5 linked regions of the Macaca fascicularis genome follow. The protein of the gene in region 3 binds, or shares a complex with, the protein of the main gene of each other region. Links are inferred from orthologs where the notes say so. Each region holds a gene or a part of one and is shown on either strand. Other genes may lie near its edges.

Region 1 (4,043 bases), on a different chromosome or scaffold from region 3:
ATGGCTCACTGCAGCTTCAAACTCCTGGGCTCAAGCAATTCTCCCACCTCAGCCTCCCCGGTAGCTGGGACTACATGTGCGGTATCATGCCTGGTTAATTTTTAAATTTTTAGAGATGGGGTCTTGCTATGTTGCCCAGGCTTCTAGAATCACTCTTCATATTACTCACTAACACTGCCTCCACCACATTAATACGGCAACAGGTCTAGAAATTATTTAAAACAAAAATTTCCAATGTTTACATTGTGTGATGTATGTATGTATGTATGTATGTATGTGTGTGTGTGTGTATCATTCCAAGGTACTGTTTCTAATTTTTTCCTGCAGAGAATATTCAGTATTGTATCTGCATTGGCTAGCTGGTGATTCTATTCACCATCACATTGTCCCAGACTGAATCTGAAGACAAAAAACCACTTTGGGAACAAAATCTTTTTTTTTTTTTTTTTTTTTTTTTTTGAGATGTAGTCTCGCTGTCTCCCAGGCTGGAGTGCAGTGGCGTCATCTCGACTCACTGCAAGCTCCACCTCCCAGGTTCGCGCCATTCTCCTGCCTCAGCCTCCCGAATAGCTGGAACTACAGGCGCCCGCCACCACGCCTAGCTAATTTTTTGTATTTTTTAGTAGGGACAGGGTTTCACTGTGTTAGCCAGGATGGTTTCCATCTTCTGACCTCGTGATCCGCCCGCCTCGGCCTCCCAAAGTTCTGGGATTACAGTTGTGAGCCACCGCGCCCGGCCAAGGGAACAAATTCTTGTCTTCAACAAAGAGCGGTCTTGAGTAGGCATAAAAGTAGCATTTGAAGGTTGGGCGCCCAGCCTTGAATAGCTTTTTACATGCATTGCACGTTATTTCCTTTTATTATCACGTTTTTTGGGTCCAGTCTTAAACCTGGGAAGGCATTCGTTTGGGAGGTCACACTGGCGGGCATCCTGGTTCAGGCGGAACCCAGACTCTAGAAAGCGCGCGCGGAGCCACACGGTCAACCCTGTCCCACTCCTGGCCCTCCCACACCGTCCCCTCCGCGGAAGCACTCCCGCCTCCTCTCGCTCAGGCACTGACTGAGAGGCGGAGAGATGGGTGTTAAAGAGGGGATATCACCAATCAACGTGCGCCTCCGGGAAGGAGCGCTTCGCACTGGCTGGTTGGGTCTGACGACGTGGCCACGATCCAATCCTCATGCTAGAGGCGCGGCTAAAGGGTAGGGAAGCAAGCAGAAGGAGGAGCGCGCCGGGTGCGAGCACGTGACCGGGGCCTGAAGCCGGAAGCTACCTATCTGGTAGGGAGCTCCACCAGCACCGAAGACTGCGATGGTGAGTGAGGACGCATGCGCGGGAGGACCCGCCGGGGGTTCCGCGTCTCTGCTCCCCAATCTGTGTGGTTTCCCCCTCGTGGGTCTGCGCTCCACCCTCACCTCCTATCCGCTCGGGGAGGAAGACGGGATGGAGATGGGAGGGATGGCGACGGGAATGCTGGGGAGGGGTCTGTGGGAGGGTGTTCTGGGGCTGCGGGTAGTCTGCAGGTCAGGGGCGGGGAGGTGGAGAGAGGGTCTGGGGGCAGGGGCCAGTGGGGCAGCGAAGTCCCCTCGGAGTAGCATAGGTGGAGCGTGGAAGGCCAGGGGAGCCCGGGGGCCGAGAGTGGGGGCAGATGGAGGCTCGGGAAGATCAGTATTGAGGACCATGTAGGGGGAAGGGAGCCGGGAAAGGACCTGGCTGGGGAATGAGAAAACCTGGGGCCATCGCCAATCAAGAGACTTGGGTTTGTAGGTGAAGGGTATCAGGGGCCATCCATCCCTCTAGCATGCTTCTCACTACTTGCATCTTTACCCACTAGACTTCTGCACTGACCCAGGGGCTGGAGCGAATCCCAGACCAGCTCGGCTACCTGGTACTGAGTGAAGGTGCAGTGCTGGCGGTGCGTTCTGGAAAAGGGAGGGGGTCCCTTAGTGCACACAGCCCGGTAACCCCTTCTAATATTGGCCCTTCTTTTCTCGACTTTTACCTGGTTTGCGGTCTGGCATCTATTAGGTTGGTACAAAAGTATTTGCAGTTTTTGCAATTACTTTCAGTAATCAGTCTGTGGAATCTTAGTCTCCTAACGGTTGCGGTTTATTTATTTATTTATTTATTTACACTTTTTGAAACTGAGTTTCATTCTTGTTGCCCAAGCTGGAGTGCAGTGGTGCGATCTCCGCTCACTGCAACCTCCGCCTCCGGGGTTCAAGCGATTGTCCTGCCTCAGCCTCCAGAGTAGCTGGGATTACAGGCATGTGCCACCACGCTCGGCTAATTTTTTGTATTTTTAGTAGAAACGGGGTTTCACCGTGTTAGCCAGGCTGGTCTCAAACTCCTGACCTCAGGTGATCCACCTGCCTCAGCCTCCCAAAGTGCTGGGATTACAGGCGTGAGCCAACATCCCTGGCCTTTATTTGATATTTCTTAAAGAGTCATTTGTATTTTGTTCCATAGTACTGTATAGTGTTAGGTCTCTAGATGTTTTTGATTTAGCTAGAGACAAAGCTTAAGGTTAAGTGTTGAAAACAATACAGGTGGTAAAAGACTATTGAAGGAATCCAGGATATTAAAAATTCAACATGTTATGACAAGGTAACTAACTTCCCTGGAGGTAGGAATTCAGCCCAGCTTAAAGGAGAGTATTTACAGTGGGGAGGTGGACATATTTGCAGGTGTGTGGCACTGACCTTTCTAAACTGATGGTAAGTCTGTGCTGAAAAGATTTGGGAAGATTTGAGGGAAGAGGAAGATATGGTCAGGGAGGATCTGATTGTGAAGGATCTTCAAGGCCAGGTTAACACACTTGAACTTATTCTTCTTGGAGGTAATACAGCTTGAAAGGTTTTTTAAACAGAAACAAGACCCAGTGAGGTGGTTGAGCAATATTGTTGTTAGTGATGTGAAGATGGGCAGAAGGAGGCATCATTAAGAGATTAGACTGGGCCAGGCATAGGTGGCTCAGGTCTTTAGTAATCCCAGCATTTTGGGAGGCCAAGGCGAGTGGATCACGAGGTCAGGAGAGCTAGACCATCCTGGCCAACACGGTGAAACCCTGTCTCTGTTAAAAATACAAAAACAAAATTGGCCAGGCGTGGTGGTGGGCGCCAGCTACTCGGGAGGCTGAGGCGGGAGAATGGCGTGAACCAGAAAGGCGGAGGTTGCAGTTAGCCAAGATTGCACCACTGCACTCCAGCCTGGGTGACAGAGCAAGACTCCGTCTCAAAAAAAAAAAAAAAAAAAAAGAGATGAGACTGGGCAAGTGGCAGTAAGAAGGAGCAAGGAGAGAAGAGTTTTGTTTTTGTTTTTGTTGTTTTTTGAGACAGAGTCTCGCTCTGTGGCCCAGGCTGGAGTGCAGTGGCATGATCTCAGCTCAGGGCAACCTCCGCCTCCCAGGTTCAAGCGATTCTCCCGCCTAAGCCTCCTGAGTAGCTAGGATTACAGGCGTATGCCACCACACCCGGCTAATTTTTGTATTTTTAGTAGAGATGGGGTTTTGCCATGTTGGCCAGGCTGGTCTCGAACTCCTGACCTTGTGATCTGCCCACCTCAGCCTCCCAAAGTGCTGGGATTACAGGCATGAGCCACCGCGCCCGGCCCTTTTTTTTTTTTTTTTTTTAGGACAGAGTCTTGCTGTCACTCAGGCTGAAGTGCAGTAGTGTGATCACATCTCATTGCAGTCTTGAACTCCTGGGCCCAAGCGATCCTCCCACCTCAGCATCCCAAGTAACTAGAACTATAGGCAAGCACCACCACGCCCAGCCATTAAAAAAAAAAAAATTTATAGGGACAGGGGTCTTGCTATGTTGCCCAGGTTGGTCTCGAAGTCCTGGCCTCCATCAGTCCTCCTGCCTTGGCCTCCCAAAGTGCTGGGATTATAGGTATGAGCTACTGTGCTTGGCTGGGAGAAGATATTTTAAAGGAGGAATCAGTATATCTTGCTAATGACTAGAAATAGGTAATAAAAGAAATACTTCTCTAGCTAGAACTCTAAAGCCTGGAAGAGTGATGATGCCTTAAGAAACATGTTCCT
Region 2 (4,170 bases), on a different chromosome or scaffold from region 3:
TGAGCAACAAGTGAGACCCTATCTCAAAAAAAAAAAAAAAAAAAAGTAAATTTTATATGGTTTTTACAATAAAAATTTTTAATTAAAAAACGGTATCAATATTGAAGATATTGTGAAGAAACGGTAATCTTCATGCATTGCTACTGAGAACACAAAATGGTAAAACTATTTTGGAAAAGTTTGACAATTTTTTATGTTAAACACAACACTTAGCATATGACTCTGCAACTCTACTCCTAGGTATCTACCCAAGAGAAATGAAAATATATGTCCACATAAAGACTTATACACAAACATTAACAGCAGCATTATTTATAATAGCCCAAATCTGGGAAAAAAAAACAAACCAAATGTCCTCCAACTAGTGAGTGAATAAACAAATCATGGTATAGCCATACAATGGAATACCATTCAGTGATAAAATTGAATTAACTAGCTGGGTGTGGTAGCTCATCCCTGTAAGGCCAGAACTCTGGGAGGCCAAGGTGAGAGGATCCCTTGAGCCTAGGAGATTGACGGTGCTTTAGGCGAGGTCGTGCCACCACACTCCAGCCTGTTGACAGAGACCCTGTCTCAAAAAAAAAAAAAAAAAAGAGGGAACTAATAAAAGCAACAAACAAGCCAGACACAAGATTATGACAGAAAGTATCAGTGACTGCCCTGGGTGAGGAGGGGTTAGGCTGCAACAGAGCATGAGGGAACTTTTTGGGTAATGGAAGTGTTCTAAAACTTCATAGAGGTGGTGGGTATACAACTGTATACAATGTATGCTTAAAATGTATTATACTTTATTGTGTATAAATTATAGCTCAATGAAATAGTTTTTTAAAAACCCTGGGTTGATTAGATCTGTAAGTTACTAGCTATGTGACATTAACCAGAATGGTTTTTTTTCCTTCAGATATGCCTATTCTGTTTCATCAGTTTTCATTGCTCACAATCACACATTTTATTTTTAAAGTGAACAATTCTATAATGTACTGCAGTTATTGGGCTTACAGATAATTCTTACTTCCACTGGCAGAAATATATACTTATCTGCACTGCTACTTGCTCTATCTCGTAAGATTGTTGTGAAACATCAAATAAGATAACTGATGAGAAAGTTCTTTGGTAACTGTAAAATAGTATTACGCAACTATATAGTAGACTTTACATTTTTGAAAAACAGACGTGAAAATGTTTTTTCATATGAGCGACTTGAGACCCTTGTAAACCTAGGTACCCAAAGTCAATCTTTGCCCAGAAATAGAAAGCAGTTGTCTATTCAAATGCCACCTTTGAAATATCCTATCGAAACCTGTTTCCTACTGTCGCTTGAGTTAGTAGATGGCTCAATGTAGTATCATCTAAGCTGCACTTTCATTTTTCAAAGGAAAAACACTAAAGAAATGTTTAGAGAGAGACAGATGAGCATGACACATTTATTTTTCAGGGGAAAAGAGAGATACGTAGAAAAATGTCTTCAATTCCATATGCATTTACTGAATGTTTCCTGATGAGATCTGCATTAGCAAGAGAGAGTGAATAATTTTAAGAATAGCAAAATTTCTTAAACCAGTGTGGCACAATCATTTCAACTTTGCCTGTTCCAAAATTTGACAGATTCTCTCTTTTTTTGTTGTTTCTACTACTGTTGTACAACTGGGCTCTTTGCTATCCTACCAAGTTTGTGTGGTATTTGACATTTAGCCTAGTTATATTTGCAAGTTTCCACACTGCAATATTTACAAAGGCTGTTTGGACATAATCTCCTCAGGTTTAACGACTAAATTTCACCTTGAATTCAGGTTTATATCAAATCTTACAATTCTGAAAAGCTACTCTGCCAGCAACAGGTACTACAACGAAAAATCAACAAAGCCTGTACCACCACAAAATGCTCTGCTAACATTTTCAATTTTTAAGACTCCTTTTCAGTAACAGTTCTAAAGAGGAAGAATCTACGGCCAATTCCAAGGCCAGATTTCATTTAATGTTGTCTTGCTTCAGTAGTAACTCTAAACTCAAGTTTCACATTTCTCCTTCGATAACATTAAGGTCGCTCGGTCCGGTTACCGCACACCTCCAATTTTAGCGTCCAAGAAACCTGAAAGAACGGCACCTTGCCTACTTGCTCCTCCAGCCTTCTCTCAACTCAGAAGCTTGGCCAAACGTGCCGCTCTCTCCACAACGCCAACGGAGCTGGAACGCAGCGCCCGGAGGACAACTGGTCACGGGGAGGAGGGGAGAACTTCGCCGCCCGGAGTACGGCGGCTGAGGTCCAATCCAGCCCGCGCCCAACTCTACTCGGTGCCAGGAAGGCGTGTGGACCCGAAGTCTCAGGCCGCGGTGCTAGATCCGGAGGAGCAGAGTCGCGCGTGGCTGGGGTCAGGTAGTAAACAAACCGACGGGAGAAGGGGGAAGGGGCAACGGCGAGGCGGGTGGGGTAAGAGAAGAGGTAGGACCTCGCTCCAACCCTTCAGCGCGAGCCAGCAGCCGGCTCCACCCCACCGAGGACCAGATGCTGGTCTCGGCGCGGCGCTTCCGCTTGGGTCGGAAAACCGAAGGCCCCAACACCCCTGGAGCCCAGAGTCCACAAGGCCATCGGCTCCGCGACCCCCGCCCCACAGCGCCCTACCTGAACCCGCAATCTGGATCCCGGGCGTCGCGGCCGGGCGCGCCCAGCCCGGTCTTCTTGCTGAAGAGCTTCTGGAACAGCGTAGGGGCCATGCTCCCCACGGCCAGGCAGGGGTCGCTCCGCTGGGCGCTTGGTAGGCCCCTGCTCCTAGAGCCGCCCCGCCACCCCCATGGGCGCCTCAGTCATATGACAGAAATTAGTCACTTCAAACGGCCACGGCGCGCGGGGCGGGGCGCGAGGCAAGGCCGGCGCTCATTGGCTGGAGGTGGGCCGCATCACGTGGCGGCGCGCGGAGCAGGGGCAAGGCGGGGGCGTGGGGTGGAGCTACCTCCATTAGGCGCACTGGCGTTTCCCGTCACGTGGCAGCTCACGGGGCGGGGCGTGTGCCGAGAGGACAAGACTGGAAGGTGGCTAGGGATGTGTAGGGGGAGTAGGCTCAGTCTCGATCCTCCTCTGTGAGGCTGTCGGCTACCATCAGAGGCTGCGCCAGGGTGGCGCGGGGACGATGCCAGGAGCCTTGGAGTGCAGAAGCCTTCGACTCCCCGCACCCACAGAGTTGCGTAGGGAACCATGGGCAACCTATTCTCCCTTGTCAGCCCCTCCTTAGCTTCTGCGGCTTCACACCTCCATTCCGCGCCGGGGAGAGTCTGGCGGCCCCTGGAGCACGGAAGGCGCACGAGCGTACCCGTGGGGCCTCGGCCAAGGCTGGACTTTGAGCCCAGGACCCCAGGCCCGCCCTTAGAAGGCCGCTCCGGCCCGCGAGAGGTCTGGGATCTGGACAGCGCGGGGGCTGGCTCACAGGGACTGGTGGAGGAACCTGCCGGGACCCCTGCCACAGCCATGGCTCCCCGCAAAGACGACCTCGGGCAGGGACTGCGGGCAGAGTTTGTACTAGTGCCTCAAACCCTGACATCAGGAATTAGTCTCGTGGAAGAGCTAGCGATTGGAGGCTCAGGAGTTAGGCTGTTTCCTTGGTAACCAACAAAATCAGGTGAAACCAACGAAGTCAGGAAGCCTAAAGACATGTATGTACAGATATCTAAACTTTTACGCTAATTATTTAGATTTTTAATCTATCTTAATGGTTAGGTGTGAAGAAGGGAGGAACTGTGGAATTTTAACCAAGTTACAGGGAAGAAACGCTTTCTAAAAAAAGAAAAACGTTGCTCACATGTGACCTCACAGTCTTATTTAACCCATGGAACCAAAATATACCAGAGTTTGGAGCAAACTAATCTTATAAATTTTCAGCACCCCCATCCATTCACTCACTCCCCCTCCAGGATAACGAAGCTTGTACAATGGGATGCAATCCTCAGAGAAATTTAGGAAATAACTTGTATATGGTTGGAAGGCTGGATAAAAATACTTTGGGCAGGCGTGGTAGCTCACGTCTGTAATCCCAATACTGCAAGGCAGAGGCAAGCAGATCGCTTGAGCTCAGTAGTTCCAGACCAGCTTGGTCAACAGTAAGACCCCATCTCTACAAAAAAATTTTTTTAATTAGCCAGGTGTGGCCGGGCGCTGTGGCTCACGCCTGTAATCCCAGC
Region 3 (4,128 bases):
TTCAGGCCATAGGCCTGGCAGTTTCCTTCTCAAGCAGGAGAGGGAAACCAGAGGCAATGTTGACAAGCCACTTCCCAGCATTCAGCACCAACATGGGCTATTCTTTTTTATTTTTTATTTTTGTGGCAGGGTCTCATTCTGTTGCCTAGGCTACAGTACAGTGCTGTAATCTCGGATCACTGCCACCTACGCCTCCCAGGTTCAAGCGATTCTCCTGCCTCAGCTTCCCGAGTAGCTGGAATTAGAGCCACGCGCCACCAGGCCCAGCCAATTTTTGTATTTTTAGTAGAGATGGGGTTTCGCCATGTTGGCCAGGCTGGTCTTGAACTCCTGACCTCAGGTAATTCTCCCGCCTCAGCCTCCCAAAGTGCTGGGATTACAGGCGTGAGCCACCATGTCAGGTCAAAACATAGGCTACTCTTATTCGTTTTTCCTTTTAATGAAAAGCACTCGCTAGGCTCGGTGGTTTAAGCCTGTAATCCAAGCACTTTGGGAGGCCAATGGGGGGATCACCTGAGGTCAGGAGTTCGTGACCAGCCAGGTCAACATGGTGAAACCCTGTATCTACTAAAAATACAAAAATTGCCGGGTGCGGCGGCTCATGCTTGTAAACCCAGCATTTTGGGAGGCCAAGGCAGGCAGACCATGAGGTCAGGAGTTCGAGACCAGCCTGGCCAACATGCTGAAACCCCATCTCTACTAGAAATACAGAAATTTGCCAGGCATGGTGGTGGGTGCCTGTAATCCCAGCTACTTGGGAGGCTGAGGTAGGAGAACTGCTTGAACCTGGGAGACGGAGGTTGTAGTGAGCCAAGATCGCACCACTGCACTCCAGCCTGGGCAACAAGAGCAAAACTCCATTTCAAAAAATACAAAATACAAAATATAAAAATTAGCCAGGCCTTGTGGCGCATGCCTATAGTGCCAGTTACTCAGGAGGCTGAGGCAGGAGAATCGCTTGAACTTGGAAGCAGAGGTGGCAGTGAGCCGAGATCGCACCACCGCACTCCAGCCTGCGTGACAGAGTGAGATTCTGTCTCAAAAAAAAAAAAAGAAAAAGAAAAAAGCACTTGTCAGACAAGAGCTCCGACTCTGACTCCATGGATCACGCACGCCAGAGACCCAGGCAGCCCCTGAAAGAGAGGGAGATGCCCTAGAGAACATTTAGCTTTGCGGTCACTGGGGCCTACCCTCACCAGCCAGGTGACACCAAATGTTACTAGACCTCTCTGAATACCACCCAAGAGCTGAGAAACAGACGCCTCTCAAGATTTGCATTACACATGGAATCAGAATTCTGGGCAGCGTGAGGTCATTCTTTACTCACTGGTCAATCCCAATCTCTAGGAGGTGTTTGCTTAAGAAAACAAACTGATTTGAATATGTCTCACGAGTCTGTTTCCAGCAAGCTTTCCAGAACCCACAGGGGAAGCCGAAATCCCCTGGGTGACAGTCTCTTCATCATCACACCCAAAGACAGTATTCAAATTCCCTGATGTGGTAGAGTGTCTGTCCATGTCCTCCTCCCACAATAGCTGAGTCCCAGACCTGGACAGTGACCTCACCACCACCCGTGGTGCGCCCTGACCCTGGCCCATTTCACCCCTACTTCCTATGCTCTTCTCATAGCACCGCGGAGAATTAGAGGCCACTAAGTAAGGGCACTGTAGATAAACAAGGCACTATAACGGATCTTAACCAGCAGTGGACACACAGCTTCTAAAACTAGTCTCCCACTGGGGAGCCTCATTAAGTCAGCAGCTGGGATCCCAACAAGCCCAGGGTGAAAAGTTCTGCAGGGGATGACTGCCAGCTCAGACCCACTCTCACTGTGGCTCTATTTCCACCGTTTCCCTGGATTTCCATTCACAGAGCTCCCTGACATAGGACACTAGAAGGGCAAACAGTGTCACCTGCCACTATTACTCAATTACTTGATGACCACGGTGATAATCTGGCACTAAACTGGTTGTGGCCAAAGCCTGGAGAGCCAGAACCTACTTCCAGCAAGTTCCTCCTTGCCCTGCGTCCCCATTTGAAGAGACTGCTGCTAACCACACCTTGGACGTCAATCCACAAGCCAATCCATTCTTTCCAGGTGACAAGGACGCATCTGACAGTACTCTCCACTGGAGAGAAGCGCGGTCTTCCACCCTCCCTGGAGGACACGGTGCTACCCTATTAGCTTATCAGAGGACCCTCCTGAACGCCAAACTGAGAGAAGAGGAAATCACACACCCTCTCCTCCAGAACGAAGACAAAACCTGGGAGAAGGAAAAGGAAACAGTCCCGTTTCATGGCAAGATCAAATGAGACTAAATCAACGACCCTAACCCGGGGTTTGAACCCAGGTCACAGTCCTCATCCCCAGAAACTTGGTTAATGGGCGTGCCCCCAACCTATCTTCAAATCTCAGGGTCTCGGCGACGCCCTGGACTCTGGCCCTAAACCCTCCCCCATTACTGGTCCACCTGGGACCAACGCAAACTCGGACATGCCCCTCCGCCAAACCCTCAGACCCCCGCCGACCTGCTCCCCGAATCGAGGCCCGCGGGACACCTGGACTCGGCAGCCGGGGTCCCGCTCCGGGTCTCAGCCCCGCCCCTGACTGCGCTGGGTAGGTGGTCGCTGCGGGTCCCAGACAGGCGGGATCACACACAGAGCCCCCGAGCCCACGGCCGGAACGTCAGCCGGGGTGGCGAGGCTCTCAAGCCCCGGTTCGGGCTCTCGGGGAGCTGGCAGAACCAAGAGTTACCACACTCACTCGCGGCCCCACATCCCCGCCGAGACCCTGGCGCGTGACTCTCTGGGCCGTAACACCACCCAGCCCTGCGGTGGGGGTGCAGGCGCCGTCCGAGCGCGTCCTCCACCGCGAGGAGAGCCGAGCCTCGCCAGCTCCCGCAAGCCCAGGAACACAGTCCGAGTACCGCAACTCCGAGGTCTGACGGGGAAGCAGGGGCCGCTGCCCGACAACTACCCTTTTCCGCCGCCCCTATTCCGGTGCCCCCCTCGGGGAAGTTCCCAATGGTTCAGACCGCACCGGCTGGGGATGCTGGGGGAAACCATTTCCTTAAGCGCGGGAGTATGCTGAAACTTAAAAAGCATTTCGAAAAGAGATTTGAGGGTAAATATAATCAACGTAAGGCTCCCTGTCCACATAAAAGAGAAAAATAAAGAAAAAACGTTATAAGGGGTTGTCAGGCCTTTTTTTTTTTTTTTGCTTCACCAATGGTTTTTATTACATTGCTGATGGAACCCGGCCTCTCCCTATATTGAGAGTATGGAAGGTGCGGGCGACAGCCGTCACGTGATGCGGGGAAGGCGCGGCGCCCGGGGGAGGTTGGTTGCGGAACTCGGGATCGGTGTGCGCGCGCATGTTTGGTATTCGGTCTTCCTCCCTCAGTACGTCTTTCTTAAAAATGTGAAAATCAGTTATTGAATAATATTCTTCTTTTGAGACGGAGTTTCGCTCTTGTTGCCTAGGCTGGAGTGCAGCGGGGCGACCTCGCCTCACTGCAACCTCCGCCTCCCGGGTTCAAGCGATTCTCCTGCTTCAGCCTCCCGAGTAGCTGGCGTTACAGGCGTCCGCCACCATGCCCGGCTAATTTTTTTGTATTTTTTGCAGAGACGAGGTTTCACCCTGTTGGCCAGGCTGGTCTTGAACCCCTCACCTCAGGTGATCCACCCGCCTCGGCCTCCCAAAGTGCTGGGATTGCAGGCTTAAGCCACCACGCCCGGCCTGAATAATATTTTTTAAAACTTGAGCGCCTATTACTAAATTTATCTACTTAGAAGTTAATTGGAAAGACATTAGTTCGTGATGTAGTGTGGGTCGTTCCAGCGAAGACCGGAGGGAGATGGGAATCGGAGCCTGACCCGCCTGCGCGCGCTGTCCCCTGGGATGCGGCCGCCTGGGAGCCTTCCACCGCGGCAGAGGCTGTGGTTGCCACAAGGTCTCCAGAGTGTGCTTACCAGGAATACAGTAGAAAAATGGGTGGTTGTGTTTTTGAAATCACAGAGGTCACTTTTTTTCCTTTTAAATTTCCTTGTTTTGGCCGGGAGCGGTGGCTCACGCCTGTAATCCCAACACTTTGGGAGGCCGAGGTGTGCGGGTCACGAGGTCAACAC
Region 4 (4,183 bases), on a different chromosome or scaffold from region 3:
AAGAGATAATAAAAAGAGGAAACTGGCCGACAAAGATGAAATACAGCAAAGAAATGAAAAGTAATAATGCTGGAAGTGAATTTCAAATAAAGAGTTATAGAAGAAACAGGTGACCAAGGGAATGCTGACACTATCCCTCTAGATACACAGAGAACTCAGTGAAGGCAAACTTATTGACATAAATGAGGAAAGCGGTTGTGACGAAAATTTTCCAGAGGACATGATGCTGGCAAAAAATATTCATATTAAAGGAAATCTCAGAGATACTTCAAAACATTGAAAATACACAGACAAAATACTTCATAAAATTAACATATGGCATATAGAATTTATTCAGTAACAAATTAAAAATTTCTTACCTTGGTAACTTTTTATACAAGAATCGCTTTAGGTCCTGAAAGAGAATATTAAAAAATCATGTTATAATAATAGGCCTTCCACTGTTTTCTAGATCCTGTCCTATCCAAATTTTAGGGACGTTCAGTTATCATTCATAACCTTTCTTGCTGTGTTTTATCTTTCTCTGTCTGATTTGGATGTTTACTAGTCATGCAACTTGGAGTAAGTTAACTAACCTTTTTTCCCTAAGCCTATTTCATTATTTGTTGAATAGGGCTAATATAGAACCTACATCATAAGAGTGCTGTTAAAGTTTTTTGAGAAGTTGCATGGATTAGCATACCTAGAAATGGGAAACACAAATACATTTTAGCCATAAAAATATATCATAATTTTCATACTAGTGTTTTATATCCTGTTGCTATTGTGTTCACTTGAGAAGACATTATAAACACCTTTCCAGGTTCAAAGATAGACTTTCCACCATCATTTTAATGGTCTTGGGTAAGGTGATATGACTTCTGTAAGACTGTTGTCTCACATTATAAAAATATGCCTTCCATTGTTTCATTATTTGTTGAACTCACCTACTCAACAAATAATGAAACAGTGTAAGGCATATTATTATAACATAATTATTAAAATATTCTGTTTAAGGACCTAAAATAAATTATATATGACTATGTGAGGCAACAGTCTTTTTTTTTGTTTTTGAGAGGGAGTTTTGCTCTTGCTGTCCAGGCTGGAGTGCAATGGCGCAATCTCGGCTCACTGCAACCTCTGCTTCCCAGGTTCAAGCGATTCTCCTGCCTCAACCTCCGAGTAACTGGCATTATAAGCACCCACCACCACGTCCCAGCTTATTTTTTGTATTTTTAGTAGAGATATGGTTTCACCATGTAGGCCAGGCTGGTCTCGAACTCCTGACCTCAGGTGATCCACCCGCCTTGGCTTCCCAAAGTGCTGGGATTACAGACGTGAGCCACCACGCCCAGCCCAGACTTACAGAATATAAGATAAATGGCGAAGTGTGTCAAGTGTTTAACACTAAACACAGTTAAGACTAAAGAAATATAAGACTATTTTATTTTTCTAAGCTGGGGCTCACTGCAACTTCCAAGTTCTGGGCTCAAGCAATCCTTCCGCCTCACTTCCAGCATAGCTGGGACTACAGGGTTATCAATGCGCCTGGTTTTTAAATTTCTTTTTGTATAACGGGGTCTTGCTACGTTGCCCAGGCTGATCTTGAACTCCCAGCCTCAAGTGATCCTTCCATCTCGGCATCCCAAAATGCTGAGATTACAGACGAAGCCACCTCACCGGCCAGAAGATTATCTTATTTTGTCTCATTACACTCTCTCATCCCAGGAATTTCACTGACACTTGAGGTATCAATTTTGACCTCGCATGGATTAATCAGATATCTGTTGTTTTGAGCCTCCAACACTTACTATTCTCCAAACCCGAATGATCATTTTATTTCATGTTATGACTATTGGCTTATTTTTGCTCTCATCCTACACACACACACACACACACACACACACCCCTCATTTTATTTCATGTTATGTTTCTAAAGAGGCATGGGTTAGAAATCATCGTAAATTGCCACAATAAACCTAATAAGATATTGTTACCACTTACTGGAAAAAAGTATTCTGGGTACATGTCCTACTGACCAAATTCTGACAGGAAAAGCAGCGAACCATCATTCAGAATTTCAAATGGTAAATACACAGAGCCTCTCTTATACCCCAGCTGGATTGGTGAGTAGGGAGAATATAATTTTCTCAGTCTCAAGCACCTTAGTGTCCTCCACCCCCATTCGAGGCAGAAACTCAGGATCCTGCAAATTCATTCATATTAGTCTCCCATTTCACATACAAGAGAAAATAATTAACTGGGATGGGTGGGGATGGGAGGATCTTCTACCTCTCCCCGCTCAGTATTCCCCTCCAAATTCCCCACTCTCCCTTCCTCTTATGTGGGGGTGTCACTCACATCCGCCATGATGAACCCCTTTCTCTCGCAGGATCAATCTCCACGCCTGGAAGAGAAACTCCCGGTGACTCTTACCTCTTTGGCTTCCTCGTCCTCCCCACCCCCAACTTAATAAGCAAGATCAGCCCTGGTCAGAACCCGGCAAAACCCCCGCGGTTCTAGGGCTTGGCCCAGCGAGCCCAGTGGGAGTCGGAGTGCCCCAACACCCCCACGGGTACTCAGCTGGCACGCCTTGCCTCAGCCCACCCCATCCCTGCCCCTCCACCCCAAAGAGCTAGGCCCAAAGAAAAGAAGAGGGGGCCCTCTCCTTCTGTTTAGTCTCACCACCCGCGCCACCTCCGGGACTAGGCCTCAAACCAGGCAAAGTAGCGCCAGTTACCTGGGGTTTCTGGGTTGCCTGGTTCTCTCCGTTGTCACTTCAGGGACAGCTTTAAAGACAGGTTCCTCCTCAAGCCACCGTCACATGATTGATGACCTCTTCGGCGCTCCGGGAAGCACTTTCTACGCCGTCGCCCCACGATACTGGATTTCCGGAAGGGCCTGGCGGAAGCTTCGAGGGCGCGGCCGCCCGACGCGCCCCGCCCCTCCCCCGCCCACCGCGGGCCGCGTCTTGCGCCTGCGCCTTGTGTCACGGGCCGAGGGACGTCAGCTGTGGGGTAGAGGATTTGTACGAGATCGCTGGACCCCGAGGACCCCAGAAAATGCAAGCAAGGTTATGTGTTACAAGACATTCTTGTGCAGAGAGGGTGTATAAATGTCATTAGTTTTTCAGGGTCCGTTATCTTAAAACCTTTTCTTGTAGATGAAGAAATTTGAGGGGATGGTGTGATGAGCTGAAGAGCAAGCAACAGATTGCCTGTGATTGGAAGTATCAGGTCCACAGGTTTCTGACTTGTTTCCTAGGTTCTTGTGACTTCCCCATGGGTGCTCTTTACTCAAGGCCTTATCTAGATTGAATGGGGAGGAGCCATGGGTTTTCTGGAGCACTTCAAGCGTCTACTTTTAACATGCAGACACGGGATTACGGGTACTTTCTATGTTCCCTTTTACATCAGAATTTTAAAAAATTAGTAAGGTCTCATATAATAAATAATAATTGGAAAAAAAAAAAAAAAAAAAAAAAAAAAGCCTTGCCGGGTGCGGTGACTGACGCCTGTAATCCCAGCACTTTGGGAGTCCGAGGCGGGACGATCCTTTGAGCCCAGGAGTTCCACACCAGCCTGGCAAGATAGAACCCCATCTCTACTACTACTACTACTACTAATAATAATAACAACAATAAAGAATTAGCCTTACGTGGCGTGCGCCAGGTACTCCGGAAGCTGAGGCATGAGGATCCCTTCAGCCCAGGGTTTGAGGCTGCATTGAGTGGTGATCGCCCCACTGAACTCCAGCTTGAGTGACAGAGCGAGATGCTCAAAAGAAAAGCTTCTTTAGAAATCACATCCTCTTTCAGCTACCACCCTGTTTTTCCTCTACTCCCTTTCATAGCCAAATTTTCAGAAAATTTTAGCCTGGTTTTTAATTGCTGCTTGCATGTCACAAATCTAATCAGAGTTCTGTTGATTCTACCTCCTATCTTTGAAAACTAGTCACCTATCTATGTTCGTACCCTAGTGCAAGCCATGATCATCTCTCTCTTGACAATAACCTCCTATTCTTCTTACATTCTCTTTTGCCCTCCAGTCTCCATAGAGCAACAAAAATGATGTTCTAAAAACCCAAATCGGATCATTTAACTCCTTTCTTGAAAATCAACTTTATTGACTTAGGATAAAGTTCAATATCAGCATCATGGTTTATATATCGTTCTTATGGGGATCTGGCCCCTATATTGATTCTC
Region 5 (4,169 bases), on a different chromosome or scaffold from region 3:
GCAGCAAAAGACAGAAGCTGTGGGCTTTGCCCCATCACCTCTGTAAACTCCCAGACACCCTTCCTCCCTAAAACACAGGCTCAGCATTAAAGAGCTAAAAAGACAAAATGTTTGCCAAAGATAAAACTATGTATTTCTAAGGAAAGCTGGCTCCATAATGAGGCCCAAGTTAGCTTCCTATGTGTCTGTCCTTCTCCCAGCTCCACTTCAGACAGATCTTCCTGCAGGACAGGGTAGTCTCTTCCCTATCAGGGGTTCTTCAAGAAGAAGGCTGGCTGATCACTTCTCAGCCTTCAGCTAAGATCAAGGGAGGAACAAGGTTGTTTTCTTGAAACCTAGACTTAAAGAAGAGGCCATGCTACCCCCTTCAGAGTAGACAAGTATCACCCCACTCCCGAAGTGCGAGTGGAGCATGGGTTAGGTTTGTCACATCAAGGTTTGTCTCTGCGTCAGTGTAACCCAAGAGGCAGGGTTTCACTGTCTACCTTAGCACAGACATAGCACCCTGCCCATGACTGGCCACCTGGTCTAGGGGCATAGATGAGACTGCTTGGCCCCATGGATAAAGTACATGGCTTGGCATCAGAACACCCGGGCATTAGCACTTCCCAGCTTGGCCAAATCACTTAGCTTCTCTGAACTTTTTCCTCACCTTTAAATAGACATAACCCACACTAATATGACAGATGTCTGGCAAGAGTCAAATTAGATAACTATCACGGCCCTTTGTAAACTGTAATGTGTTGTACATTTTTTATTGTGATAAAGAGACAGAGATGAGAGTGGGAGAGGAGCCTGCCCAAGAACTGAAAGAGGGACTCTGGGAGGTGGATGGTTACGGCTCTTGCTACGTGAGGCCTCAAATCACCCAGCAGTGATTAAACATCTTCTCTGGGTGTTAGGAACAGAAAGGAGAGCCCACCAAGGAGAAGGTAGAGATTCAGGAGAGCAGCAGGCCCAGCTCTCCCTTCCAAGTAGAAGCTGGTATCCTTTCTCATAAGGCATTAATCCTTCTTGACTCATTCCCTGCAAGAGTCCACATTATGCTTTAAGGGACAATTTCCCACTAGGCCACAGCTCTCCCAGTAGGCAGGGTTATTGTTGTCTCTTTCTCAAAAAGGTGGAGGTGAAGTGAGAGGTATTAGGCATGACACATGCCTAACACAGAGCAAAGGAAATATGTGTTCATTGGGTGTATGAAGAATTGAGAACCAGAAGCGACCCTTGCTTCCCATAAAAATGACATTTTCTTTTTTTTTTTTTTTTGAGACGGAGTCTCACTGTCTCCCAGGCTGGAGTGCAGTGGCCGGATCTCAGCTCACTGCAAGCTCTGCCTCCCGGGTCCACGCCATTCTCCTGCCTCAGCCTCCCGAGTAGCTGGGACTACAGGCGCCCGCCACCTCACCCAGCTAGTTTTTTTTTGCCTGTTTTAGTAGAGACGGGGTTTCACCGTGTTAGCCAGGATGGTCTCGATCTCCTGACCTCATGATCCACCCGTCTCGGCCTCCCAAAGTGCTGGGATTACAGGCTTGAGCCACCGCGCCCGGCCACAAATGACATTTTCCTAAGCTTAAGCCCTTAATCCAAAATACGTTCACTGAAGAAATAACTACTTCCCAAGTACCAGTGATATAATCTATTTTTGTGACCATCTCCCCTATTAGACTGTGAGCTACTTGAAACCTTTCTACTTTCTCAGGTCTACTATATGTTCAAATGTAGAATCCAGGGTTAGAGACGATCAAAAAAGAGTGGACAGCAACTTGTGACTTCATCCTTGAATGTCAGGCCAGGCGGGGCAGGGATTAGAATGTGGAGAGAAGTGAGAATGCACTAAGAGGAAGAGGGAGAATTTAAAACTGTACAGGTCTCCCCAGCCTAAGCCTTTCGTCAGAGGGATCAGATCTACAGCCAAATTCTCAGAACAGGCATGTCTCCAGCTAAAGGAACCCTCAGGCCCCAGGCAGACTGCACTGAGGCAAGCCAAACTCAGACCCAAATGAACTTCCCGCTCCATTTCTCTTTTACCACAATCTAGTCAAAGCTAAACCCTCTTTGTTGCTTCCCAGACAATTTCCCCCATGTCCCGATGTCCTCACTGTATCCATTAAATCCTTCATTGGCCAACTCAAAGGCCACCAACTTCCAGAATCGTCCTCTGGCCCTAAACTAGCAGCGACCTTCCTTCTGCAACCCCAGGGACTAAGACGATACATGAATTCCTGATTCATCGCAGGACAGCCTAACTCAGGGCCTCAGCTTACCCACCCCTGCAATGGATTCGCAAAGCCCACTAATACAGAGAAGACAGGAAGCTGGGAAGGGAGTATTTCCCGGGGACCTAGACTGAGGATCCTTGAATCTGGAAAGTTTTGAAGGTAGGAGCAAACGGAAGTGGTGGGAGCGAGCCGGACAGGCGGCTGCCTGTACACCCCGAGGCGGGGACCGCGTAGAAAGCTGGGGCTTTAACTGGGGTAGGAGTCCGGCTTGGCGTCTCCTGTGTAATCTGTCCCCTCCAGGCCTCCGTATTCATCGAGCCCTGCAGTCCTGGCCCGTTCTCCGCAGATTTCTTTCTGGGGCCCCAAGCCCCAGGGTCTTAGCCCTCATTCCCGAGCCCCGCCTGCCGCGGCCGCACCTGGTCCGAGTCCTCGTTCTCGCTGCTGTAGCAGCACCCCATGGCAGGGGTCAGGCCGGGCGCTCAGGCCGCGCCGAGGAGGGACGGCGTCCGTCAGGAGCCCTTCCGGTCACATGACCCGCAACTGCCTCCCGCAGGCAACCACCCGCCGCCACCCCCAGTATCCCTTCTCCCGGAGCCGCTGGGCCGCCTCAGGCAATACCCCGGCTTCCGGTCCCGCCCGCTAGCGCGTGATCGTTGTCAACCAATAGGAAGGCGTAACCGGACACGCAGGCAAGTGAAGCGAGGAAAGGGAGGGGCGGATCACATGACTTCATCTTTCCAGTCTCTAAACTGGCAGTAGTGGCCGTCGTGAATAGTGTTATGCGTTCTCGTGGCCACTAGGCCACTTCTCTGGGCCATTGAGCGAACTCGTACCAAATGCCCTTGTATGCCCTCGTGATATACTCTTCTAAATGCCATGCGAGGGGCGAGTGGGATCCAGGCCTGACGCTCCTAGATCGTACAGCCTGGGTGCACACACAGAGGATCCAGATGACCGGTACCCAGTAGGGGAACAGAGGGTGTATCGCCCAGCTGGGCTGGGGGTGAATACACGGAGGGTGTATTCTGCACCTGGGCTGGGGATCTGCGACTTACAGGAAGAAGGGACCTTATACTACCTTCACATGCTGACGCGGAGCGGAGATAAATCCTGGTGGAGGAGATAGAAGTCACCTCACTGACCTCTCTGCCTTCAGGCTTTTATCTTTAATTCTGCCTTTTTTTTAACAGGACCCATAGTAAATCTAACGCACAAAGCTGACCATCAGTTCTCTTTTCCTAAACGCCCCTCCTCCCCCATGTCTTCCCTTGGGCCCTGAACACAGGTCCAAGTCCGTCCAAAATTGTATAGTGATCCATTTGTTGTTCATGCGCGTGTGATTCCGCGTGTGTGAAATGCGCCCACCCTCAAATCTTGTTTTGGCACATTACCCATCTGACATATCAAAGTCACGCAGAGCCTGACACCTCTCTGCCACTGCATGTTCTGAGGTGAGGGGTGAGGGGGTGGAGGGGTGAGCAATCTGTTTCACTGGACATAGAGAAATGATGTTTCCTGATTGATCTACTGGACTTTGCACATGCAGCCTGGTCTGCCTACTGTCTTCGAGACTCAGTACAATGTCCTCCTGATTACCTTCTCTGACCCCATTCTCTGGACATGTCCAGCTCTCTATGCTTAATCCTCATCCAGTGTTAATTCATGCATCTATTAACAAATATTTGCTGAGCATCTACTATGTGCCACACACTGTTATATCTGGATATGCATCAGTTCACAAAACAGCCAAAGTCCCTGTAGTCGTGGAACATCCAATAGTGATCACACTATATTCTATGTTCCTGGGTCAGTCTCACCTACCAAACTTGGGAGTTCCTAGAGCACAATGACAGGTTCTGACTCTTACCTGTGGCCCAAGGCATGGCCTTGCTTACAAAAAACTTGCGTATCAATGAGTACATTACAGTCACCCCATCACCTTGGCTCACC

The links.
Region 1: FLCN (region 3) and LAMTOR4 share a complex: the UniProt entries of both Homo sapiens proteins name them as parts of the lysosomal folliculin complex. The link is inferred for Macaca fascicularis from reciprocal best matches to the Homo sapiens genes FLCN and LAMTOR4.
Region 2: FLCN (region 3) and FNIP1 share a complex: the UniProt entries of both Homo sapiens proteins name them as parts of the lysosomal folliculin complex. The link is inferred for Macaca fascicularis from reciprocal best matches to the Homo sapiens genes FLCN and FNIP1.
Region 4: FLCN (region 3) and LAMTOR3 share a complex: the UniProt entries of both Homo sapiens proteins name them as parts of the lysosomal folliculin complex. The link is inferred for Macaca fascicularis from reciprocal best matches to the Homo sapiens genes FLCN and LAMTOR3.
Region 5: FLCN (region 3) and LAMTOR1 share a complex: the UniProt entries of both Homo sapiens proteins name them as parts of the lysosomal folliculin complex. The link is inferred for Macaca fascicularis from reciprocal best matches to the Homo sapiens genes FLCN and LAMTOR1.

The regions. Positions count from the first base shown.
Region 1 is NC_088377.1:48,815,807-48,819,849, forward strand, and holds the start of LAMTOR4 (ragulator complex protein LAMTOR4), read left to right. Parts: upstream 1-1,235; 5' UTR 1,236-1,309; coding exon 1,310-1,312; intron 1,313-1,832; coding exon 1,833-1,913; intron 1,914-4,043. UniProt on the Homo sapiens protein: As part of the Ragulator complex it is involved in amino acid sensing and activation of mTORC1, a signaling complex promoting cell growth in response to growth factors, energy levels, and amino acids.
Region 2 is NC_088380.1:138,333,927-138,338,096, forward strand, and holds the start of FNIP1 (folliculin-interacting protein 1), read right to left. Parts: upstream 2,809-4,170; 5' UTR 2,713-2,808; coding exon 2,621-2,712; intron 2,375-2,620; exon of another isoform or gene 2,245-2,374; intron 2,239-2,244; exon of another isoform or gene 2,105-2,238; intron 1,506-2,104; exon of another isoform or gene 1,395-1,505; intron 1-1,394. UniProt on the Homo sapiens protein: Binding partner of the GTPase-activating protein FLCN: involved in the cellular response to amino acid availability by regulating the non-canonical mTORC1 signaling cascade controlling the MiT/TFE factors TFEB and TFE3.
Region 3 is NC_088390.1:17,332,806-17,336,933, forward strand, and holds the start of FLCN (folliculin), read right to left. Parts: upstream 2,809-4,128; 5' UTR 2,765-2,808; exon of another isoform or gene 2,530-2,764; intron 2,265-2,529; exon of another isoform or gene 2,061-2,264; intron 1-2,060. UniProt on the Homo sapiens protein: Multi-functional protein, involved in both the cellular response to amino acid availability and in the regulation of glycolysis.
Region 4 is NC_088379.1:105,533,761-105,537,943, forward strand, and holds the start of LAMTOR3 (ragulator complex protein LAMTOR3), read right to left. Parts: upstream 2,810-4,183; 5' UTR 2,665-2,809; intron 2,387-2,664; 5' UTR 2,350-2,386; coding exon of another isoform or gene 2,341-2,349; intron 2,025-2,340; 5' UTR 2,008-2,024; coding exon 1,984-2,007; intron 395-1,983; coding exon 360-394; intron 1-359. UniProt on the Homo sapiens protein: As part of the Ragulator complex it is involved in amino acid sensing and activation of mTORC1, a signaling complex promoting cell growth in response to growth factors, energy levels, and amino acids.
Region 5 is NC_088388.1:70,863,869-70,868,037, forward strand, and holds the start of LAMTOR1 (ragulator complex protein LAMTOR1), read right to left. Parts: upstream 2,807-4,169; 5' UTR 2,678-2,806; coding exon 2,636-2,677; intron 1-2,635. UniProt on the Homo sapiens protein: Key component of the Ragulator complex, a multiprotein complex involved in amino acid sensing and activation of mTORC1, a signaling complex promoting cell growth in response to growth factors, energy levels, and amino acids.